3 linked regions of the Diceros bicornis minor genome follow. The protein of the gene in region 1 purifies or fractionates together with the protein of each later gene. This does not show direct contact. Links are inferred from orthologs where the notes say so. Each region holds a gene or a part of one and is shown in the gene's direction. Other genes may lie near its edges.

Evidence for each region. The genes of interacting proteins can lie anywhere in the genome.
Region 2: the proteins of CUL4A (region 1) and UBC purify together in Homo sapiens (affinity purification with mass spectrometry, with the first as the bait; 3 studies listed by BioGRID). This does not show direct contact. The link is inferred for Diceros bicornis minor from reciprocal best matches to the Homo sapiens genes CUL4A and UBC.
Region 3: the proteins of CUL4A (region 1) and SKP1 purify together in Homo sapiens (affinity purification with mass spectrometry; 3 studies listed by BioGRID and IntAct, with this or other methods). This does not show direct contact. The link is inferred for Diceros bicornis minor from reciprocal best matches to the Homo sapiens genes CUL4A and SKP1.

Annotation. Positions count from the first base shown.
Region 1 is NC_080748.1:86,944,570-86,952,328, forward strand, and holds the start of CUL4A (cullin-4A), read left to right. Parts: upstream 1-4,736; 5' UTR 4,737-4,962; coding exon 4,963-5,110; intron 5,111-5,487; coding exon 5,488-5,603; intron 5,604-7,759. Other genes in the region: PCID2 (PCI domain-containing protein 2), read right to left, coding at 4,507-4,542. UniProt on the Homo sapiens protein: Core component of multiple cullin-RING-based E3 ubiquitin-protein ligase complexes which mediate the ubiquitination of target proteins. As a scaffold protein may contribute to catalysis through positioning of the substrate and the ubiquitin-conjugating enzyme.
Region 2 is NC_080774.1:5,852,536-5,859,503, forward strand, and holds UBC (polyubiquitin-C), read left to right. Parts: upstream 1-4,521; 5' UTR 4,522-4,546; coding exon 4,547-6,376; 3' UTR 6,377-6,445; downstream 6,446-6,968.
Region 3 is NC_080740.1:53,332,558-53,339,606, reverse strand, and holds the start of SKP1 (S-phase kinase-associated protein 1), read left to right. Parts: upstream 1-4,026; 5' UTR 4,027-4,129; intron 4,130-6,916; coding exon 6,917-7,013; intron 7,014-7,049. UniProt on the Homo sapiens protein: Essential component of the SCF (SKP1-CUL1-F-box protein) ubiquitin ligase complex, which mediates the ubiquitination of proteins involved in cell cycle progression, signal transduction and transcription.

The DNA of each region.
Region 1 (7,759 bases):
TTACAGCAGACACTTTGTAATCAGAAAACCAAATGATATTTTTAAATTATATTTACCAAAAATGACATAAAAATTCTAATTATATAAGTGAAGAGAAAGCCAAGCATGAAGCTGCACATATGGTACAATTCACCTACAATAAAATTAGATCTGTGAATTTCATGCCACACAAGGCTCCGACCAGGGACGTCATAAAAAGGACACGGAATGGCGTACGAGAAGGTGCGCACGTCACTACCCACCAGCGAAATGCAACGGCATCCCTCTACACATCCACGAGAACAGTCAAAACGGACAAGGCTGACCATACCAAGTGCTGCCAAGAATATAAAGCAACTGGAACTCTCACACACTGCTGGGGGAAGGGTGAAGTGGTGCGTCCACTCTGGGAAAGTATCAGGTACGCCTACTAAAGGGAGCACACACCTACTCCCCGGCCCAGTAACCCAAAGCCCAGGCATCCACGGCCAGAAGAAATGGAGGCCTAAGCCACAAGGACACCTCCTCTGCTTACCACTCAGGGCATCGACTGGGGAAGTTTACCACACCTTTTCCAAGATAATTTGTATCATAAAGAATTTGCCACTTGACTATTCAACAAAACTGCACATGCACTTAAGTTCTGAGCCAGCAATCCCACTCCTAGGGATCTACCTTACAAGAAACAAAAGGTCATTTCATGTATTACGAGTAATCACAAAATATTGGTCCCATTGGTGCCCCTGCCTCAAGGAAGCTAAGAAAACCTGCAAAGTTCTCGTCACGGGGTGTGAGGGAAAACAGAGGGATGGTGACACACTCGCATCAAATCTCCAAGACGGATGTGCACCTCAGTGGACACTAGCATCATGGGCAACCCAGTCACGGCTTTAGTCACTGTTGATACGTCACACCCCAGAACTTCTGGTCTTTTATTATTTTTTTTATTTTTTGGTGAGGAAGATTGTCTCTGAGCTAACACCTATGCCAATCTTCCTCTATTTTGTATGTGGGACACCACCACAGCGTGGCTTGATAAGCAGTGTGTAGGTCCACGCCAGGGATCCAAACCGGCGAACCAAGGGCTGCCAATGCGGAGCATGTGAACTTAACCACTACGCCACTGGGCTGGCCCTGGTGTTTTAATTTAAGCACCTTGCACTGGACCATGCGGCCGCACTCCAGGCGAGACTGTCCACAGCACCCCTGTGGGCCTGGCCTCGGGACTGCAGAGGTCATCAGGTGAAACTCTCTGGCTCTGGGTACTCTCAGGAAGTTCTCTTTCTTGGCTGCTGCTGGTCAACTCCTGTCCTCCAGGCTCCAAGCTGATCCACTGGGGAATCATCTGCTCTTAGAACTCCTAATTCCTTAAAAATACATTTACTAGCTCCGTCCACTGAAAAGGCCTAGAAGTAATGATACCTTGATAGCAATAAGCACACCCAGCACTCATATCTGTTTTCTAAATTCACCCTCCACTAAAAGGGACCAGAGCTTCTTGGGGAAAAGTCTGATCTAGTGCTGGGACAGGGAAAGAACTAAGTGAGCCTGGAATGAATATATTATTGCACCAGAAAGCAAGGCAGAGACCAAAGGATGGAGACAGGTCAAAAAGCCACAGAAACCAGTTTGAAGGGGCTCCCAGTGGCCAAATCTGGGACAATTTGAGCTTCAAAAAGAATAATAATGGGGCCGGCCCCGTGGCTTAGCGGTTAAGTGCACGCGCTCCGCTGCTGGCAGCCCAGGTTCAGATCCCGGGCGGGCACCGACGCACCGCTTCTCCGGCCATGCTGAGGCCGTGTCCCACATACAGCAACCAGAAGGATGTGCAACCATGACATACAACTATCTACTGGGGCTTTGGGGGAAGAAAAAAAAAGGAGGATTGGCAATAGACGTCAGCTCAGAGCCGGTCTTTCTCAGCAAAAAGAGGAGGATTAGCATGGATGTTAGCTCAGGGTTGATCTTCCTCACACACACACACACACAAAAGTAATTTTCCATGTAAAATAAGAGTGTGTGGAATGGACAAAAGAATGAAATAAAGGACACTAAAAAAAAGATACTAGAAATGATGAAGAGAGCCACCTCTGGGGAAAATATAAGGTAAATGAATTCAACCTGTCCCTTCCAAACAGAAACTAAATTGAATGCCTGCTGACACTGTGAGCACTAAATAGATGAGGGGACATGCTAGCTACAGCTGGGTGTTGGGAGAGACAACAGGGCCTCCTCCGGCCTCTGCCCCTGCCAAGGATTGACCGCTGGCTCTTTCACTTGAGCCGTTACTCAGGGCTGTTTATGCAGCTGGTCACCTTGAGAAATGAAGTAATGTCTCCCCCCATCCCCAACCCTGGACAGAAAGCAGACTTGCTTTCAGCCTGCTATAGAATGGGTGGGTTCCCCAAGTTCCATGTTTCTCTCTCAGATGCACGTGTAGGGGCCCTTCTGGGCCATCGCAATACCATCATGCTGCTGCCGTGCTGCCTGCTATGCTGAGTACTAAAGTCCTTGGTCTCTGACCCAGGAATCGCGTGCGTTCTGCCAGTACCCAAGAACCTACCAGGAGAACTCCTAAGCTATGAGGAGAGTAGAATGAAACTCCAGACCCAACAGATAATAGGATGTTATCACAGAGCACATGGGGAATGAAAGACACAGCATTTCAGGCAGCTGCTGGCTGTGGGCATGGTGAAGCTGTGAAATAAGGAATGGAGATGTATCAAAGCTGACAAGGTCAATGAGATTCAAAAAAATATTTAATTCGGAAACAGAAATAGGCAGGTTCTAGCTAGGACAGGAAATGTTGGCCAAAACTTAGGCTAAGAGAGGCAGTGAGCTTTGTGTTAAGGGCATGGACTCTGAGGCCGGAACTCCCGGTCTCAATGTGCAACACACTTGCCAATGACTTTGGAAAGCCACTGCTTTCCTATGCAAAATGGGGCTTGCAATGGACCCACCTCCGAGAAAAACAGCGATGATGACTACGTACAACAGCGCCTGGTCCTTATTAAGCGTTCAACATGCGCTAATCATTACTGTGCTTCTCATCATACCCCAACTGCTTCACCACATAAGACAGACAAGAAAGGAGATTCTCTGAGTGCTCCTCTGGGAATGCAGGGAATAGGACCAAGACGCAGTTTGGTGAAACAGAAGAATATGAAACCTAGAGTCAGACAGACCAGCCTGGGTCTGAACCTTACTACTCACTAGACTGAGGGAGGAGGTCTGAGAACAGGCGAATCACTCCACTTTACCATCCAGCCCTATAAGCGAGCCTCAACGCCTCCTATCTGCCTCCATTTATCCAGTCAACAAATTGTATTGAGCATCCACATGGGTCAGACACCATTCAAGGCACACAGAATGTCCAAAAAAAAAAAAGGAATTAGGTGTGGGCAAGAAAATTGTAAACGATTAAGAGAAAACAAAATTCTAGAGAGATTCTATATTCAAATTGGTTTTCAGATGTCTATGTTCTTGTTCAACTTTAAACTGATATGGGAAATGTTAACTCTGCAAAGATAAGGCCAAGGTAGACCTATCCTTAAAGACAAGGCTTCAATCAAAAGACTGGCAAGTGAATGTATATCTGTATGTTTTAAATTAAAATAAAAGCATGTATCTGTTTTTTTTCATGATTCCCGTTTTAAACAACTTTCTCAATTAACTAGCAACTAATGGTCTCAATCATGTTAGACTAACATTCACCTGCCAACTAGATATCTTTACCTGGTTGTCAATAGACACCTCCAACTCCACATGTCCAAAAGTAAACTGACTTTTCCCTCCGAATCTGTTCTGCTCACCTGTCGTCCAAGCTAGACACCTGGAAATCATTCTTCACTCCTCCCGAGGTCCCTCAACCACAAGTTCTTAATCACCAAGTCCTGGTAATGTTTCCTTCAGATATTTTTAAAATCCACTCCTTTATCCTTATGACCACGGTCCTAGTTCTGCGAATTACCATAGTCTAGCGGGAAGAATGCAAGCTTTGAATCCATAAATACCTATGTTTGAACTATGCTTCTGCCGTTTACAGGCTGCATGGACAAAACCCCTGCGAGAGACATTTCCCCAGGATACCATAGTATACCAGGTGCTAACACAGCGGGTGTACTAAACGGCAGCTGTGGCCAGCGGCTCGCGGCGGGACCACCTGCCATCTCCATCTCCTATGTCCACCAGCGTTCATCCGAAACAAAACTCGAAGTCCGGCCCTTGGGTCAGGCCTTCAACGGCCACGCAACGGCCGCGCCCCTGCTCCTGAGCGTGACCAACAGGCCCTTGGGGATCCGCTCGGACCCCTCTCCACGTCCCCAGGCTGAGGGCCGCGACCGTGGGTGTACCCGGGGGCCCCAGGACACCCAGTGAGCTTGCCGCTTCGTCGTCCCGGCCTCCCGTCCGGCGGCCAGGGCAGGCGCGGAACAGGCTGCCCAGGCCCGCAGTGCCCACCCCGGCCCGGGGCCCCGCAGGCCAAGGGGAGGAAGAGTCGCCCCGCGCGACCTGCCGGGCGAGCATTACCTGCTGCAGGTACTGGTTGATGGTGATGTGCGCCATGGCAGCGCCCGCCGCCCGACCCAGACGGCGCCTGCGCGCCCGGCCATGCGTCACTTCCGGCCGGCGGTCCGTCCCGGGCCCCGCGCCGCCGGCCCCGCCAGCCCCGCCTTCCGCGCACGTCGGTTCCGGAGGGAGAGCGTCCGCGGGAGCGCGAGCGCCGGGCCGGCATGGCGGCGCGCCCGGGTTGAGGCAGGCCGGCGTCCGGCCGCGACTCCGCGCCTCCCCTCAGCGAGGACGCCTCGTCCGCGCCCCTGGGCGCCCGGGCCCCCGGAGCTGACAGGGCTTGCCCCGCGCCCCTCGACTGTGCGGGTTCCGCGCTGCCCGTGGCCGACGCGGACGGGCCGCGCTCGCGGGCCTCGGGCCTCCTCGGGCCGGGCCGGGGCGGCGGTTGGCGCCGGCGGCCGAGGGAGCGCGGCGGCCATGGCGGACGAGCCCCCGCGGAAGGGCAGCTTCTCGGCGCTGGTCGGCCACACCAACGGCCTCACCAAGCCCGCGTCGCTGGCCGCGGCCGCCGTCTCCGCCAAGCCCGGCGGCGGCTCCAGGAAGCTGGTCATCAAGAACTTCCGAGGTGGGTGCGGGGCGGGGCGGGCGGGGGCGTCCCCTCCCGTGGTGCCCTCCCGCGGTCCCCTCCTCGCAGTCCCCTCCCGCGGTGCCCTCCCCGCGGGCCTCTCCGGTGATCCCCCCTCCCTGCTGTCCCCTCCCGGGGCGTCGGCCCTGCGGCGGGACGGCGGTGACCCGGGACCCGGGGTCGTGCGTGGCCGGGCGCGTGGAGCGGCGTGCGGGCGCCTGGTCTGCACCCGGGAACTGTGTAAACGCGGTGCCTTGTGTTGGGAAGCCCGATTCTGCTCCCGGCCCTGGTGTCCCGTGAGGGCTTTTCTGCGGAGTGTCTGGAAGATGCTGGCTGCTGGCGCGGACCCGACCCCGCTGATCTCTCTGCGTTTACAGACAGACCGAAGTTGCCGGACAACTACACTCAGGACACCTGGCAGAAGCTGCACGAGGCGGTGAAGGCCATCCAGAGTAGCACGTCTATCAGGTACAACCTGGAGGAGCTCTATCAGGTGAGCCCGCAGCGGCGGGGCCGGCCGCTCGCAACCCGCTGACCTGTCAGTGCGGGGTTGTCCTGGCGAGGAGGACCTCAGGACGGAGGAGCCGGCGTCCTTTCTCTCCCGTACCGGGTGGTTTTGTGGCTGGCTGAGTAACACGGTTATCTAGCTGCAGGGAGGTGTGATACACACCCCGGCTCTGGTTCTCGGGATTGTTTCAGCGTCAGTAGCGAAGGAACCAATGGAAATCCAAGCATGTGCCTCCAGCAGGACAGGAGGGCCTGTGACAGCAGGTCCCCAGAGTCAGCCAGTGTTTTCGTTTTGTGGGGGTTGTGGGATTTCTATTTTATTTTCGGGCTACATGACTCTTAACATTTTCCAAGTATGCAGCAAATTATTATTATAATTCCATTATGTTATATATGAAACTTGTTACGGTTTCACTTGTTAATGTAGATTTTTCCCCCCTCTTCGTTGTGTTTTGTGATTAATTGTTGCAATTAAAACATACAGACTTTGTTACATTTAACCTAAAGTAATGAAGTTCCATTTCTAACATGAGAAAAAAATGCTCAAAAGTATATTTTACTATTTGGATATTACATTTACCAGCAGTCTGGTGTTTCTCATATTTTATTTTTAAAGAATAACGTTTGCTAATATTATCTGTATTTTAGGTAATAATGTAATATCACAAATTGAGACTTGAGCTTAAATTTTTTTTTCTATTTACATAAGTGATTACATTTTAAAAATTATGGAAACTACAAACAAGTACAAAGAAGAAAATTAAAATCACCTATACTCCCACTACCCAAAGAAGACTTCTATTGACAGTTTAATGGATATACCTCCCTTCTTTGTTTTAAATTTATGTGAGTTTATTATGTTTTTTGATCAACTTTATTAAGGTATAACTTACATATAACATATACTTCAATAAGTTTTAACAAATGTATACAATTGTATAACTACCACCATAATCAAGGTAGAGAATATTTTCATCGCCCCAAAAAGTTCCCCGAGGCCTCTTGGAATTCACTCTTCTGCCCTGACTCCCAATCCTTGGCAGTCCCTGATTTGCTTTCTGTCAGTATATTTCACCATTTCTAGAATCTCATCTGAGTGGAACAGTACACTTTGCAATCTTTTGTATCTGGCTTCTTTCACTTAAGATAGTGCTTGTGAGATTCATGCGCCGTGTGACAGTAATTTGTTCTTTGTTGCTGGTGTGGGCAGTATGGGTCACCAAATTGGTTATCTTTTTACCAGTTAATGTGCATTTGGGTTTCCGGTTTGAGGTTATTATGGATGAAGCTGCTGTGAACATTAACAAGTAAGTTTTTGTGTGGACATATATTCTCATTCCTCATGGATAAATATCTAGAAGTGGGTTTTCAGAGTCACAAGGAAAGTGTATATTTAACTTCATAAGATGTTTCCTAACTGTTTTTCAAATGGCTACACCATTTTGCATCTCTACCAGCAGTGTATGAGAGTTCTAGTTGTTCCACGTCCTTGCCAACGTTTGCTATTGTCAGTCTTTTTAATTTTAGCTGTTCTAGTAGGTGTCTAGTGGAATTCTGTTGTGGTTTTAATTTGCATTTCTCTAATAATATTCAGCATCTTTTCATGTGCCCATTGCCATTCTATATACCTTCTTTAATGAAGTGTGTGTTCAAATGTTTTGCTCATTTTTTTATGGGGTTAGTTTTTTTTTTTTTTTTTTCCCGCGAGAAAGATCAGCCCTGAGCTAACATCTGCCAATCCTCCTCTTTTTCCTGAGGAAGACTGGCCCTGGGCTAACATCCGTGCCCATAGTCCTCCACTTTATGTGGGACACTGCCACAGCATGGCCTGACAGGTGGTGCATCAGTGCGCACCCGAGCTCTGAACCTGCGAACCCCGGGCCGCCAGCAGTGGAGCGCACACACTTTATGGGGTTAGTTTCTTATTAAGGAGTGTTTGAGTTTATTATGTGTTCTGGGTACAAGTCCTATACCAGATATTGGTCTTGCATTTTTCTCCCAGTCCACAGCTTATCTTTTGATTCTCTTAACTCTGTCTTTCAGAGAGCAGAAGTTTTAAATTCTGATGAAGTCTGTGTATCAGTTTGGTCTTTTATGGATTCTGCTTTTAGTGTCTATTTGAGAAATCTTTGCCTAATCCAG
Region 2 (6,968 bases), on another chromosome or scaffold:
TATAAGTGATGACAAAGCAAGGCAGGCCTTTCCCACCCAGCTCTCTGATTTCACCCTTTCTCTTGGGGGGAAAATGTTTGCTGCCCATTGTGCTCTGGAACATTGTCATGATGTTGAGCTCAGTCCCATACAAGGTGGTGACCTTCAGGGGAACTGGATCCTTTGGAGGAAGGAAGAAAGGCAGGCAGGCAGACAGGCACCAGCCCAACCCTCCCCTCCCCCCAGCAGCCCAACAGCCAGGCCCTTTGTGAGCTCAGCCCATCACGTGCTCGCGTCTGCCCGCCAATCCCGCCCTGTTGCTGGGCCTCTGTCACTTTTCCATTGGTGCCAGCTCTGAAGCAATTTCTTCTGGGGCGCCTGCAAAGGACGGATCTGTGGGCGGAAAGAACTGAAAATGGATCCAGTGACTCATCCGGCTTCTCGCACATTCTAGCACATTGCATTCTAGGTCAGAGGGCTTTAGGTTTTAGGAGCGTGACTTGATACCTGATTCCCGATTCCAAGTGGGACATTTAGACTTTGGGAGCCCTTCTCAGCAAGTAGAAAAGCAATTGTGACAACAACAACAAAATCCTCTGTAGAGCAGGGTTTCTCACCGGGGCATTGTTGACACTGGGGGCCGGGAAATTCTGTGTTGTGGGGGCCTGTCCGTCGTAGGATGTTGAGCAGCATCCCTGGCCTCTGTCGCTGGATGCTAGTAGCACCCCTACCCTCAGCCACCACAGTTGTGACAACCAAAAATGTCTCCAGACAATGCCAAATGTCCACCGAGGCAAAAATCACTCCTGGTTGAGAGCCACTGCTCCAGAGAAACAGCAGCCCCTCTCTTGGGAGGTCAGTGTCTCCTCCCGTCTCTCACTCTGTGCCCTTGGACAAATGTTTACTTCTATTTCCTTCAACAAAAACCTACTTATTGGACTTAGATTAGGGGATGCAAGGGTGTTTCAGAGAATGTTTTCTGCTAGAGAAAAAATCAGTGTTCTCAGCCTAAGAATGTTGTTTTCTCTTTGGAGATAACCTTCGGCCCACTCCCCACCCTCTGAGCCTCTCTCCTTCCTCCTCTCTTCCTCTTCCTCCTCTGCCTCAGAAATCAGGCCTATTTTTCTCTGTACCTTTTGGACTCTGAGACAAGCCACGTTGCAAAGCTCGTGACTCAGCCTTTAAACAACATGAATCACACGGCTTGCAGCAAAGCAACAGCCAAAAGCAAACAAGGTGTAGTTTGAAGTGAGTCCTGATCATCTGAGAAAGAACCTGTTTTTCTTCCTTTAGAAACTTCTTCCTGAAATTTAGGGAGACATAATCTTATTAAGAGCCTCAACTTTTTGTTCCTTTAAAATCTCTTTCCAGAAACTTAGAAAGAAATATCTTTCACAGAAATCTGTATTGGCAGTCACCAGGGTCTCCTGCTAACCTGAAAAATGAATTTTATTTTTATTATTCATTTTAATTCTCCAGTAATAAAATTCATTCTCTTAGAAAAATGTTAAAAATTAGAGGTTGAAGTCTATTTGCAACACTGCTCATGATACCAAGCAATGGGCTCGCTCTGCTCGCTAAGATCTGGGCCAATTAATCACAAGTTAGAGATCGAGAAACGAAGTTTAATTAGATTATCCGGTAAACTGGAAGACAGGTGACTAATGTCTCAAAGACCCATCTTCAAAGATTACAGAATCTTGAGGCAGTAAAATGGGCAGTAAGGTGGGGGGGTCCAGGGATGTTGGACTCCAAGCATGATGGGCTCCAGGCATCACATTGTTCCATTCTTCTGTCAGCTGTGATGGATACCTTGTAGGTGTGTCCCTGCCTGTGGTCAGCCTGTTCCTGGAGAGAAACTCATAGAGCAAAGTTTTTAATTTATCAAGTTATTGGGGAGTACATACCTGAGTGGAGGCCATAAATCAGGAGAGCATTTGAATTTTTTAGAGTACGTGCAGAACGAGTAGTCACACAGAGGAGGGGCTGGGGCCATTTTAGCGTAACCACATGGCCTCACTTACGCTCACTTACACTCCGACTTTTTTCATACATACATACATACATGGGTTACTGAAGAAAATAGTTTTATTTTCATTCACATTTTAAGTATAATGTTTAAACAATGTTCATAATTTTAAACAGGAATGTAATCTTTTCCTAATGGCAGAACATTTTTCGGTCAGTTGCCTCTTTTTCTATTTTTTTCTTCAAGGCGTTAAAGGTAGAAATTAAAATCTTTTTCCCCCCTCCCCATTTGTAGAAATAGGGAATAATTCTAGAAGAGTCCAGAAGGAACAGTGGCAGGAGAATTGACGGCATGAGGGAGACTGCAAACTTAAAAAAAACCTGTTTTAAAGTTTCACCATGCTCACCTATTTTAAAACATTTTAAAAATGCGCTGAAGAAATGACACATCGAGATCACAAAATAGCCTGTCGTAAAAATGAAAAAGATCTGGCTGGTGAGCCTTTTTCTCCTCTTATATCAAAATGGAATTTGTCTCTAGAATTAAATTTCATATTTGGGATATCGAAATGTTTTTTTCTCCCCGGAAATACATGGAGCTGAGATTCAATTAGTCTTTTTAAATCTCAGGCTTAAATAGCTTCAACTTCCGAGTCCAACGAAATGTCGACAGAGCTGAAATTCTGATACCCTCCTTGTTTATAATCAAGCACTAAGTTCTCAAACCCAAGGCCACGCAGATTAAACAGGAAAGCTAAAGAACAATCTAGAAAGATCTAGTTCTGTCAGCTTTCAGGTCCAGCTCAAGTAGTCTGACAAAGCTGTGTGGAATATCTGCCTTTCTTCTCCCAGTTCAAGGCAGACACGCCACAGTCATTTCTCCGTTGGAAACGCACGCTTTGCCCGTTTGTTTTGAGGCATTCTTGCTCCTCCTGCGCAGACGCCGGCGTCTGAGGCGGGAGCCAAGATCTGTCGAGTCATTCGCCTTGTCCCGGTGCCCGCCTGGGGGGGATGGGCCCGGCCGCCACCAGTGAGGGCTGGGGCCCGGGGGGCCCCGGGGAGCCCCCGCCACGGCCCGGAGTGAGGGGAGTTTGGTGAAGCAAAAACACGATTATTATCTCAAATGTGACCCGAAAGAAAGACCCCCGGTGTCGCGGGGGGGAGGGGCAGGGCGCGGTGCGCGAGAGGGCAGCAGGACCCCGCCTCTGCATGAGGCGCTCGGCCTGAGCCGTGGCCGTCAGGGGCGGGTCCCGTGGCCGGCGTGACCGTTGGGGCTGAGGGGAGGGGGCGTCGGGGCCGGGCTGCGGGGACAGCCCGCTCCGGGGGCCCGGGAGACTCCGCGCCGGGTTTTCGCGCCTCCCGGGGGCCGCTCCCCCGCCCCCTCCATCGAGCGCTGGCCACGTCCGCGGACGCAGCGCGCAAAGAACGCGGTGATCCCTCCGCCCGGCCTCTCAGGACAGCGCCCCCCCCCCCCCCGGCCCCCCGATTCAACCCCAAAGTCCCCGTATTAACAGGAGAACATTTCAGGGGGGCGATTAGGTGGTTCCGGGGAACTATTTTTCTCTCCAGGCAGCAGGAAGGGCTGAGAAAAGTAGTCCCTTCTCGGCCTTTCTGCGGAGGGATCCCCGGGGCGGGGCTACCGTTGCTATATAAATGAAGCCCCGGGCGTGGTGCAGGCAGATCGGTCTAGGTTAGGAGGTCGGTTCTTGCTGTCCTTCGTGCGCTGCCGGCACCGCGACTTGGTGAGTAGGGGCCGCCGTGGCGGCCCGGGGGTCTGGTGGCCCTGCGCCTGCGGGCCAGGGGCTAGCGGGGAGGCCGCGCTGCCCGCCGCGGGCACAGGGGCGGCTGAGGCTTTCAGGTTCCCGGGGCCCGCGAGCAGGGCAGCCGTGAGGGGGGGGGAGGAACGAGCAAGATGGCGGCTGTTTCCGATCCCTAGTCGGGGGAAGCGGGACTCGGAAGCGGGCCAGGAGGTTGGAGAGAGATGGGGGGTCGTGGGTGAAGGAAACCGCGAAGGCCGCGAGCGCGGGGGAGTTCGGCTACTTGTAGGGCCGAGTCGGGCGGCGTGTGGGGCGGCTGCGGTGAAGAGAGCGGTTCGCCGCCTGACTGGTGCGAGAACCTGGTCTCGTCGCAGCGGGGGGTCTTGGCGTCGTGGGTGCCGCTCCCGCCAGTCCTGCACCCACTGTGGGGGAGGGGCGCGCTCGCGGGAGCGGGCTCGTGACGTCAGCGCCGCTGTGGGCTCATAATGCGGGGTGGGGCCGCCTGCAGGGGTGGGGGGCAGCTTTGTGTGAGTCGCGGGACACGGGGTTTGGGCCTGAGGTGGACGCTGCCGGACTGACAGGGGACACGGGTCCGCTGAGGGGGGAGATAAGTGAGGCGTCCAAATCTACCGGGCCAGGTGTCCGTGCTTTTCTCTGGTAAGTTCCTGAAATGGGTTCCGGCTCATTTGTCAAGCGTTTCATTGCGTGAGGTTGTTCAGGAGAGGCGTTTGTTTTTTGGCTGGCACAGTGACCTTTGACTCCTGCTCCTGAGGAACGCGTTGACCCGTGAATTGCCTGTTAAACTCTTGGATTTTTTCTTTATTGTTTTGTTCTGACAGACAATGCAGATTTTCGTGAAGACCCTGACGGGCAAGACCATCACCCTCGAGGTGGAGCCCAGCGACACCATTGAGAACGTCAAGGCCAAGATCCAGGACAAGGAGGGCATCCCCCCTGACCAGCAGAGGTTGATCTTCGCCGGGAAACAGCTGGAAGATGGACGCACCCTCTCTGACTACAACATCCAGAAAGAATCTACTCTGCACCTGGTTCTCCGTCTCAGAGGTGGGATGCAGATCTTCGTGAAGACCCTGACCGGTAAGACCATCACCCTCGAGGTGGAGCCCAGTGACACCATTGAGAACGTCAAGGCCAAGATCCAGGACAAGGAGGGCATCCCCCCTGATCAGCAGAGGTTGATCTTCGCCGGGAAACAGCTGGAAGATGGACGCACCCTGTCTGACTACAACATCCAGAAGGAGTCCACTCTGCACCTGGTGCTCCGTCTCAGAGGTGGGATGCAGATCTTCGTGAAGACCCTGACCGGTAAGACCATCACCCTCGAGGTGGAGCCCAGTGACACCATTGAGAACGTCAAGGCCAAGATCCAGGACAAGGAGGGCATCCCCCCTGACCAGCAGAGGTTGATCTTCGCCGGGAAACAGCTGGAAGATGGACGCACCCTGTCTGACTACAACATCCAGAAGGAGTCCACTCTGCACCTGGTGCTCCGTCTCAGAGGTGGGATGCAGATTTTCGTGAAGACCCTGACCGGTAAGACCATCACCCTCGAGGTGGAGCCCAGCGACACCATTGAGAACGTCAAGGCCAAGATCCAGGACAAGGAGGGCATCCCCCCTGACCAGCAGAGGTTGATCTTTGCCGGGAAACAGCTGGAAGATGGACGCACCCTCTCTGACTACAACATCCAGAAGGAGTCCACTCTGCACCTGGTTCTCCGTCTCAGAGGTGGGATGCAGATCTTCGTGAAGACCCTGACAGGCAAGACCATCACCCTCGAGGTGGAGCCCAGTGACACCATTGAGAACGTCAAGGCCAAGATCCAGGATAAGGAGGGCATCCCCCCTGACCAGCAGAGGTTGATCTTCGCCGGGAAACAGCTGGAAGATGGACGCACCCTGTCTGACTACAACATCCAGAAGGAGTCCACTCTGCACCTGGTGCTCCGTCTCAGAGGTGGGATGCAGATCTTCGTGAAGACCCTGACCGGTAAGACCATCACCCTCGAGGTGGAGCCCAGTGACACCATTGAGAACGTCAAGGCCAAGATCCAGGACAAGGAGGGCATCCCCCCTGACCAGCAGAGGTTGATCTTCGCCGGGAAACAGCTGGAAGATGGACGCACCCTGTCTGACTACAACATCCAGAAGGAGTCCACTCTGCACCTGGTGCTCCGTCTCAGAGGTGGGATGCAGATTTTCGTGAAGACCCTGACCGGTAAGACCATCACCCTCGAGGTGGAGCCCAGTGACACCATTGAGAACGTCAAGGCCAAGATCCAGGACAAGGAGGGCATCCCCCCTGACCAGCAGAGGTTGATCTTCGCCGGGAAACAGCTGGAAGATGGACGCACCCTGTCTGACTACAACATCCAGAAGGAGTCCACTCTGCACCTGGTGCTCCGTCTCAGAGGTGGGATGCAGATTTTCGTGAAGACCCTGACCGGTAAGACCATCACCCTCGAGGTGGAGCCCAGTGACACCATTGAGAACGTCAAGGCCAAGATCCAGGACAAGGAGGGCATCCCCCCTGACCAGCAGAGGTTGATCTTCGCCGGGAAACAGCTGGAAGATGGACGCACCCTCTCTGATTACAACATCCAGAAAGAATCTACTCTGCACTTGGTCCTGCGCTTGAGGGGGGGTGTCTAAGTTCCCCCTTTTAAGCTTCTGACAAATTTCATTGCACTTTCCTTTCAATAAAGTTGTTGCATACCCAAATAGTGTGATTTTTTTTTTTTTTTTCCTGAGTTAGGTTCTTTTTAGTTAGGGTGGGGTGTGAGGAGTTAAGGTTTTCGGTCTACCCAATCCTATGGCAACCAGGAGGTAAGAAATACCACTAAAAGATGATGTTAACGTAGAACTGTAGTGGGCGAGAAATTAGAGATTGCTTTTATAACTTTCCACATGTACACTTATATGTAGACACTTGCAGACTACTGACTTAAAAAATACTGAGTTTGGGCATGGTTGTGAGGTACCTGAGAGTGGGAAAGTTTCTGGAATACTAGCAGGAAGGAGATGATAAAAGGTGTTTGTGGTGGAAGAGAATGTATAAGAATCAGTTTTAATACATAGCTCTATTTAAATCCACATTGAGCTGCGTAGAAAGTCATCATTTGACCAGACTTCCTAAAGGATGTGGCAGGTAATGTGTATTAAATGAAAAGTACTTGTCAGGCATTACACTAGAATGTTTAGGAATTAGTGGCTGTTTAGAGACTCAAAGCTGTTGATTCAAATG
Region 3 (7,049 bases), on another chromosome or scaffold:
TTGATCCCACTCACATCCCACAGGATGTGAGCAGCAAGTGGGCAGCAGCAGGTCTGCATGATTCCTGTGCACCTGTGGCCATATGAAACTGTAAAGTCTGAAAACTCAGGTATGCCAAAATGATAGCTCACTTATTTTCTTAATTACTCTGTATAGTACCTATTTCCATTTGATAGCAGAAATATAATCTGGTCACTTCCTGGCAAATTCAGTCAAGTAAGTGTATGATCACTCAGTCATTTCAGTCAAGTTGAGGGTTCTGTCCCTCTTCTGATATCCAGGGTCACAGCTACATTCTGCAGAGCTTATGTGCTCATGGCATGGAGTGGGAGGGGAAGGGGCTGGAAGCTGTCTGGTCGTTGGTCATCATCCATCTTCCTCTACTGCTCAGGGAGGCAGGCAGACCTCACCCCTACCAGTTGTGCACTGTCATCCTTGGTTTCTGCTGTCCCAAGAGATGTCTGCATTTGTGCCATGGTCTCTGGTTTGGACTGTCCAGGTTTATCTGCTTTAGTGCTCCCCTTATTACATCCCAGAAGCCCCTTCCTGGTCATCTGCCTCCTCTTTGAGCAACATCCATTCTGTTTTAGGGCCTCAGGACATATTTTGATGATCCTTGGGATCCTCACACATTAGGCACAAGCCTGAGATGCTCCCAGACCCACCTGCCTAGGCATACTCAGCTGCCATTTCTACTTGACTGCTGCCATAACTTCTCATCACGGAACACTTTAGACCTTACAGACTAAGATAGATTCTCTTCACTCTTAGAGACCCCAAATCTTTCTGGGGGTCCTAATCATTCCATATCCCTGGATTGAGGGGATAGGGGGAATGAGTGGGAGACAGTCCCTTTTCAGAGACCCACCCCAGTAGCTAACTACAATGCTCTCTTCTCTGCCTCGATTTCATCCCCACTCCCAGCCTTTTGGAAAACTGACTCTGGCATCATCATACCTCCTCTTCCCAACCCTGCTGTTGCTAGTATAAAATTTAAGATTTGAGTCCTTCAGCATCTTGGGCTTTCAGTGCTCCAAAAAACCTTCTTGTCTGAAAAGCTTTGGGTTTCAAGAGTCCATTTTGCAAATCAAGATCTAAGAATTTGACTTGTTTTTCTTTGCATTCAGCACCTTCTCCTCTGGAGTAATATGGTGGTCTGACTTTAGGTGGAAGGCTTAGAGTTTGGCAAAAAGGAAGAAGGAGGGGCTAAGCAGAGGAAGGTGAGGCTCAGAGAGGTGAAATAACTTGCCCAAGATCACGTAATAGAGTCGCTGTGCTTACCTCTACCAGCGGAGCAAGAGAGCAGTGGAGTGCAGCCAGGGGATCTCTGACCATGGGGACGGGATTACTTCGTAGCTTACATGCTGTCCTATGGGTTGGAACACACATTCAGAGTCCAGAGTCTGTCCCATGGGTGGGTGCCTCAGAAAGGGAGTGTGAACTGAATTTTAGATGCACTGAGAGGGCTGGTCCTCATAGGAATCGTCCCATGAACCCTTTACAGCATTGAAACTCTGTTTACAAAGGGAGATCACCTCTGGAAATGAATTCACCATAAAAAACAGATTTTGCCACCTGGACTGCTTCAATCCAAGGCCTTTAGCTTCCCTGGAGGTAGTATGCTGGTATCAGTTGTAAATCAGAAAATATTCCTGGCATTTGAGGGTTAAAATTCAATATCTGGGCTGTGGTGGCAGAAGCATAGCTGGGATTGGAGCCTCAGCCCTCCTCTGCAGTGGCTGTGTGACACTGGGAAAGTCCTTGCTCTTTGGTTGCATTTCCTTCCTCTCTAGAACAAGGAGTTTGATAACATGGTGTGTGGAGTGATTGGAGTAAGTATGAGACCTCAGCCTTCTCATGGCCAGCTCTGGAACCAGAAGCACCCCCCCCACACACACACACACCTCCACACACCAACGGGAGTCTGTGGGGGCCAGTCCTTTCTGACCTGGGCTAGTGATTATGAATAAATGACTGGGGGTGAGTGATCCCCAGCCTGCATCCTACAGTCCCACAACTGCCTTGTTCCTCCTGAGTGGAGGGTTTGAAAGAGGATACGGTTGATTCAGAAAGTGTAGAGCTAAACTAGTCACCTTTGACAGACACTGCTGGTCCCTTCTTAGCAAGGCTTCATCACTGAGTCCCTACTACAGAGGTTTCTCAACTTACCTTGGGCTTGAGAATCGCTTGGAGAACTTGTTTAAAAGACAGAAAAACCTGCCCCCAGGGAGTCTGATTCATTAGCTCAAGAGTGGACCCTGGAATCTGCATTTTTCTTGACCTGATGCCAATTTATTTTTGAAGTAAAAACTTTTTGAATATGTAATACATTCATATGGACCGAAATCCAAAAGGTAGAAAAGGGTATAAAGTGAAAAATCACCCAAACCCCTGTTCCCCAGTCACCTGGTTCCCCTCCCCTGAGGCAAACAATTTCTTGTGTATCTTTCCTGAGAAAACTATGCATATAATAGCGTATATGAGTAAATGAAACCTGCATTTTAAAAACAAGCCTCTCTTGATGATTCCAATATTGCGGGTCCCCAGACATATTTGGAAAAACATACACCTCCTTTACAGGCCCTGGGCTGGGTCCTCGGGCTAGATGTGTGACCTGGCACTGCCCAGTCCTGTTTAGGATGCTCAACAAGAGTTTACCAGGTGCTACCTTGTATGCCATGGGCAGCGGAGCAAAGGGGCTCCAGTGGGCCTTGCCTAGGAGACCTGAAGCTCAAGCTGCTGAGGGCAAGGCTGTGTTGTAGAGAAAAATTATGAGAGCTGTAGGTCCTTTCATCTTCCTGTCATCAGCTGTGGCACCGGGCAGACACTGGATACCACAGCTTGTAGACAAAGACCTGGTAACCCAAGGAGCTGCTGGGCCTCCCTGCCCAGTCTCATCCCAGAAGAGCTGTAGGCCTCTGATTCCTTTCCGGGCCCTGTGTGGAAGCGTCTTTTGTCTCCCTGGCGTCAGGAATACCATCACGTGCTTGTTGGTTAGGTGAGCCGGGCGCCTCAGTCTCCTAGGGAGGGGTGGCAGCGTTCCCGGCCAGAGCAGGGGAGAGCGGGCGAAGTCCCTGACTGGCTGGCTGGGGGTGGGAGTTTTCAGACTAGCCCTTTCCCTCCCTAGCGTTGGATTCCTCCAGTGGCCCCTATCCCAGCCTTCAGAGAGCATCCCATACAAGAGTTCTGGCCAGGCTGGACCCTGGCTGCCTGGGTCACTGCCAAATCCCCGCACTGTGACACACACACGCGCGCGCGCGCGCGCGCTCAATACACGTTTGCTGAAGCAGTGGATATTCACTGCCAGAGAGAGGCCTCCTCTCAAGACTTGGGGTTTCCCTGGAACAATGGTTATTTGTGGCCTGGAGGCCTCTTCAGAAATAAATGGTAGGAAATGAGGGTTAAGAGCACCAAACTATGGAGCAAGGTTCAAATCCTGGCTCTGCCACTCAACCGTTGTGAACCTGTTCCCTCACATACAAAGGAGAAAAAGGCAAACAATATTTCACCTCATGGGTTATGGTGGAGGATGAGCTAACTCTTCTTGGGTTCAGAGGACACTGAGGCCCTGAGCGGAATCTCAAAGCAGTGACTGCAAAGCGCAGCTGCCTTCCTTCTTTGAGCCCCAGTTTTCCCGTCATGAAAGACGAGCCGCACCCTGACCTCATCCACGCCCCCCTCTCCGCTCCACACACACTGACACTTTCTAGGCTTTTCACGTCTGGGGTCTTTAGTTCGGCTTAGGACAGACCCTGCCTGAAGGGCCCCTGCAAACCGCGGAGAAGCCCAACCAGTCCCTCGTTCCCGCTTTGAGGAGGGCGAGCAGCGCTTTCGAGGGTGGGGTAAGAATGAAGCCCCGCCCCCGCCCCGCCGCGCCCGCCCGCCACCGCCTCTCCGCCCGGCCCGGCCCCTCCGTCCTCCGCCTGCCGTCAGGCGATCTCCGCGGCCAGCCCCGCCGGCTCTGTGACGCCGCGGGCCCCGGGGTCCTCGGCGCCTGCGCCCGCCATATAAAGGCCGACGCCGCGCCGCGTCGCTGTAGTGGCCTTGTTGTCTGCTTTTCTCCTGTGTGTGCTGACGCCGCTGTGCCCCCGTCAGCCTCCCGCCCGCCGTCTCCTTGAGACCCAACACCGTAAGTAGCCTCTGACCGAGCTGGAAGGGGCGGTGGCGCCGCGGATGGCAGGTTGGGTGCCCGCACCGAGGCGGGAGGCACCGGGGCCTGGCCTTCCCTCAGGCCCGGTGGAACCCGTTGCAGACCCCGTTCTGCGGGAGGTGCCGGCGGGCCCCTTCTCCCGCCCCGCCCCTCGACGAGGACTGTTCTGGTCGCGCGACCTCGCGACGCCCGGTGGGCGCCCGGGCGGGCAGGAGGCAGGAGGTGCGAGCCGAGCCCGGGATTGGGCCTTTTCTGCGCACAGCGAGCGTTCGCTGGCGCGGAGCTCGGCCGCAAGGCCCAGGCTGCGGCCTGGGGCCTCCCTTTGCGTTGAGACTGCGGGCCCCGGTGACCCAGGGCGGAGGTGGCGTCGGGGCTTTTAGTGGAGGGCCCTTGTCTGTCGTGAGCGTGGGCGTGTGTCCGTGTTGTTGTTTTGGTGTCGGAGGGAGCGTGGCGACGGTAGTCCGGAGCTAGGGAATCTCGGCTCCCATCCTTTCCCCTGGGTCAGGCGTCACTAGTTGCCGATGCTGGCTATCTGTGCTGGGGCTGAATCTTTGCAGATAGCCCCCTGCTCCTTCTGAATATTTCTCTCCGTTATTTTGCCACAGCCTGGAGTTGCTGAAACAACTATTGTAACAGCAGATACTGTCGTCATAGTGATGTGGCTTTTAGGAGCCCCAACTCTGTAAAACTTAACTCGAGGCGTCTGGGTCTCCAAGGGATAGGACGTTTGCCTGATTTAGTTCACTTTTTAGTGGAGACTTAAGGTTTGGGTTTTGGGGTCATGCAGTTTTCACCAGAGCTTCACAATATAAAGTATCTGTGTCGTAGAGCAATGCAGACTTCTCCACTCTGCCCTCTAAAAACAAGTGTCAGAATTTCAGGGCACTTGAAACACAGGTTTTTTTTCTTTATGATGTTGATAGAACCCACTTCCTGCCAGCCATGGAGGGTGATTTAATTTCCAATTTCAGGAGCCTAAGGAATTGGAGAAATGGTCTTGAAAGCATGTCAAATCAAAATTTTATCCATTGTGATCTGAAATTTTTGCACTGAATTCCAGCTGTGTAACACTGAAAAAAGTTCTCTTTGAGTTTTAAGTCTAGGATTACAAAGTGCATTGAATTACAGATTAACCGATTGCCTCCTTGCTATTTAATAGGATCTCAACTCCCTTAAGAGTAACCTAATAAACAAATTTGACTATGACTAAGCAGATCTTGCTATTTATCGAGAGTTATTTGAAAGAAGTATGAAATGGTCGTCTTGCTTAAAAGTAATTTTATCAACTGCTTTACCAGACTCATGTTTCTGTAATGTTCGTTCTGGTGCTTTGGAATATAAAAAGAACATAGAATGTTTTCTAAGTAAAAATTGGGCTCTAGTGGGGATGCCTTTTGTTGTTGCCTTGTCACAGGGAAGGTCCTCTGCTCTGGGCCCTTCATTGAGCAGGACAACTGCATTATTGGCAAGCACTAAGCAACATGGAGAAGCAGACATATTTGTGAACTGAAAAGTGAAATGCGATTCTCTCCAACCATGGTGTAGTGAGAACAGGATATATCAATGGCTGGTTTGAAAATATAGTTTTACCTTTTTGCTTCCTTTCCCTAACAGCTTGTCTGTTTGGGGGATGGAAACAATTGTCTGGGAAAAGCTGAATGAATATTTTAACTGATTTAATGGGTCTTAGGCCTTTGAACCTAAAATGGGTGCAATGACTGTTTTAAATGCCGAATTCTACACTTTGAAGTTAATAGGGACATCACAGGATTATGAATACCTGAAAAGCATGGAGCTTCAAAAGCAATACTTAAAATTTGAAGAGGTCTTGAATTAATCTTTACAATCACATATTGCTGCCCTTTCCTCTCCTGCTGAAGACTCTAAAGATGGTAAAAAAAAAAAATTGCTGGCTTAGAATTCTTAATTTTAAAGAGGTTTTATTGTTTTTTCCCCGGAACTTAAATTCTTTGAAGTTAATTGCTTAATTAACTTTTATGTAAGAGATGTCTTTTTCCTGGTGACTCATAATTAATCCGAGTTAATAAATACATTTTTGGAGCAAGTAATAGGTTATTATTATGAGGATTTCGGCAGAAGATCTCAAACTGGAACACCTGGACAGTCAGAAATGAAGTATAAGAAGGGTGGTGAAGTTTAAGTTCCTTATTTGGTTTAGGGAATTAGATTGACATCTGCTTATTCTTAAATCTTTTACTGTCTTATATATGGTCTTGCATTGATCCAAACATAAATAAGTATATCCTGATCTACTTTTGGGATCTGAATGCATTTTTCACTGTTAGGTCTCACAATGGGAAAAGTACTCCCTTATTTGATTGCTTTGTTTATTTTGGACTGACCTTCCTCAGGTTTGCAGGTGGTTAATTGTGATAGTTAACTATTCAAATGAGAGTAGTCAGTATTCAGTGAGAGCAGAAAGGCAGACAGAAAGTAAGTCCATTTGAGATCTATTTTGCATCAAAAGTATAGAATGTAACCCTTAAATTTATACCAGTATTGAGTTCAGTAGGGCAGGCCTTAAAAGCTTCTGTTCCTAGGAGTTAGTCTTTGAAAAAATTTTATAGAAACACTTGTATGCTGGCCTGTGAATTACCACTTACAGTGTTTTACAGAGGTATCTACTACAGTTCCTTAGGATTTTATAGTTAATAAGTTAGAGGGCTTCTAACAGACTGTAGTTGATGAAATGTAGAGAACTAATATCTCTTAAATTTCAAATTCAATATAGTACTTTTTTTTTAGATGCCTTCAATTAAGTTGCAGAGCTCTGATGGAGAGATATTTGAAGTTGATGTGGAAATTGCCAAACAATCTGTGACTATCAAGACCATGTTAGAAGGTAAGTTTATTAGAAAACCTGGGTCAGGGGAAAGAG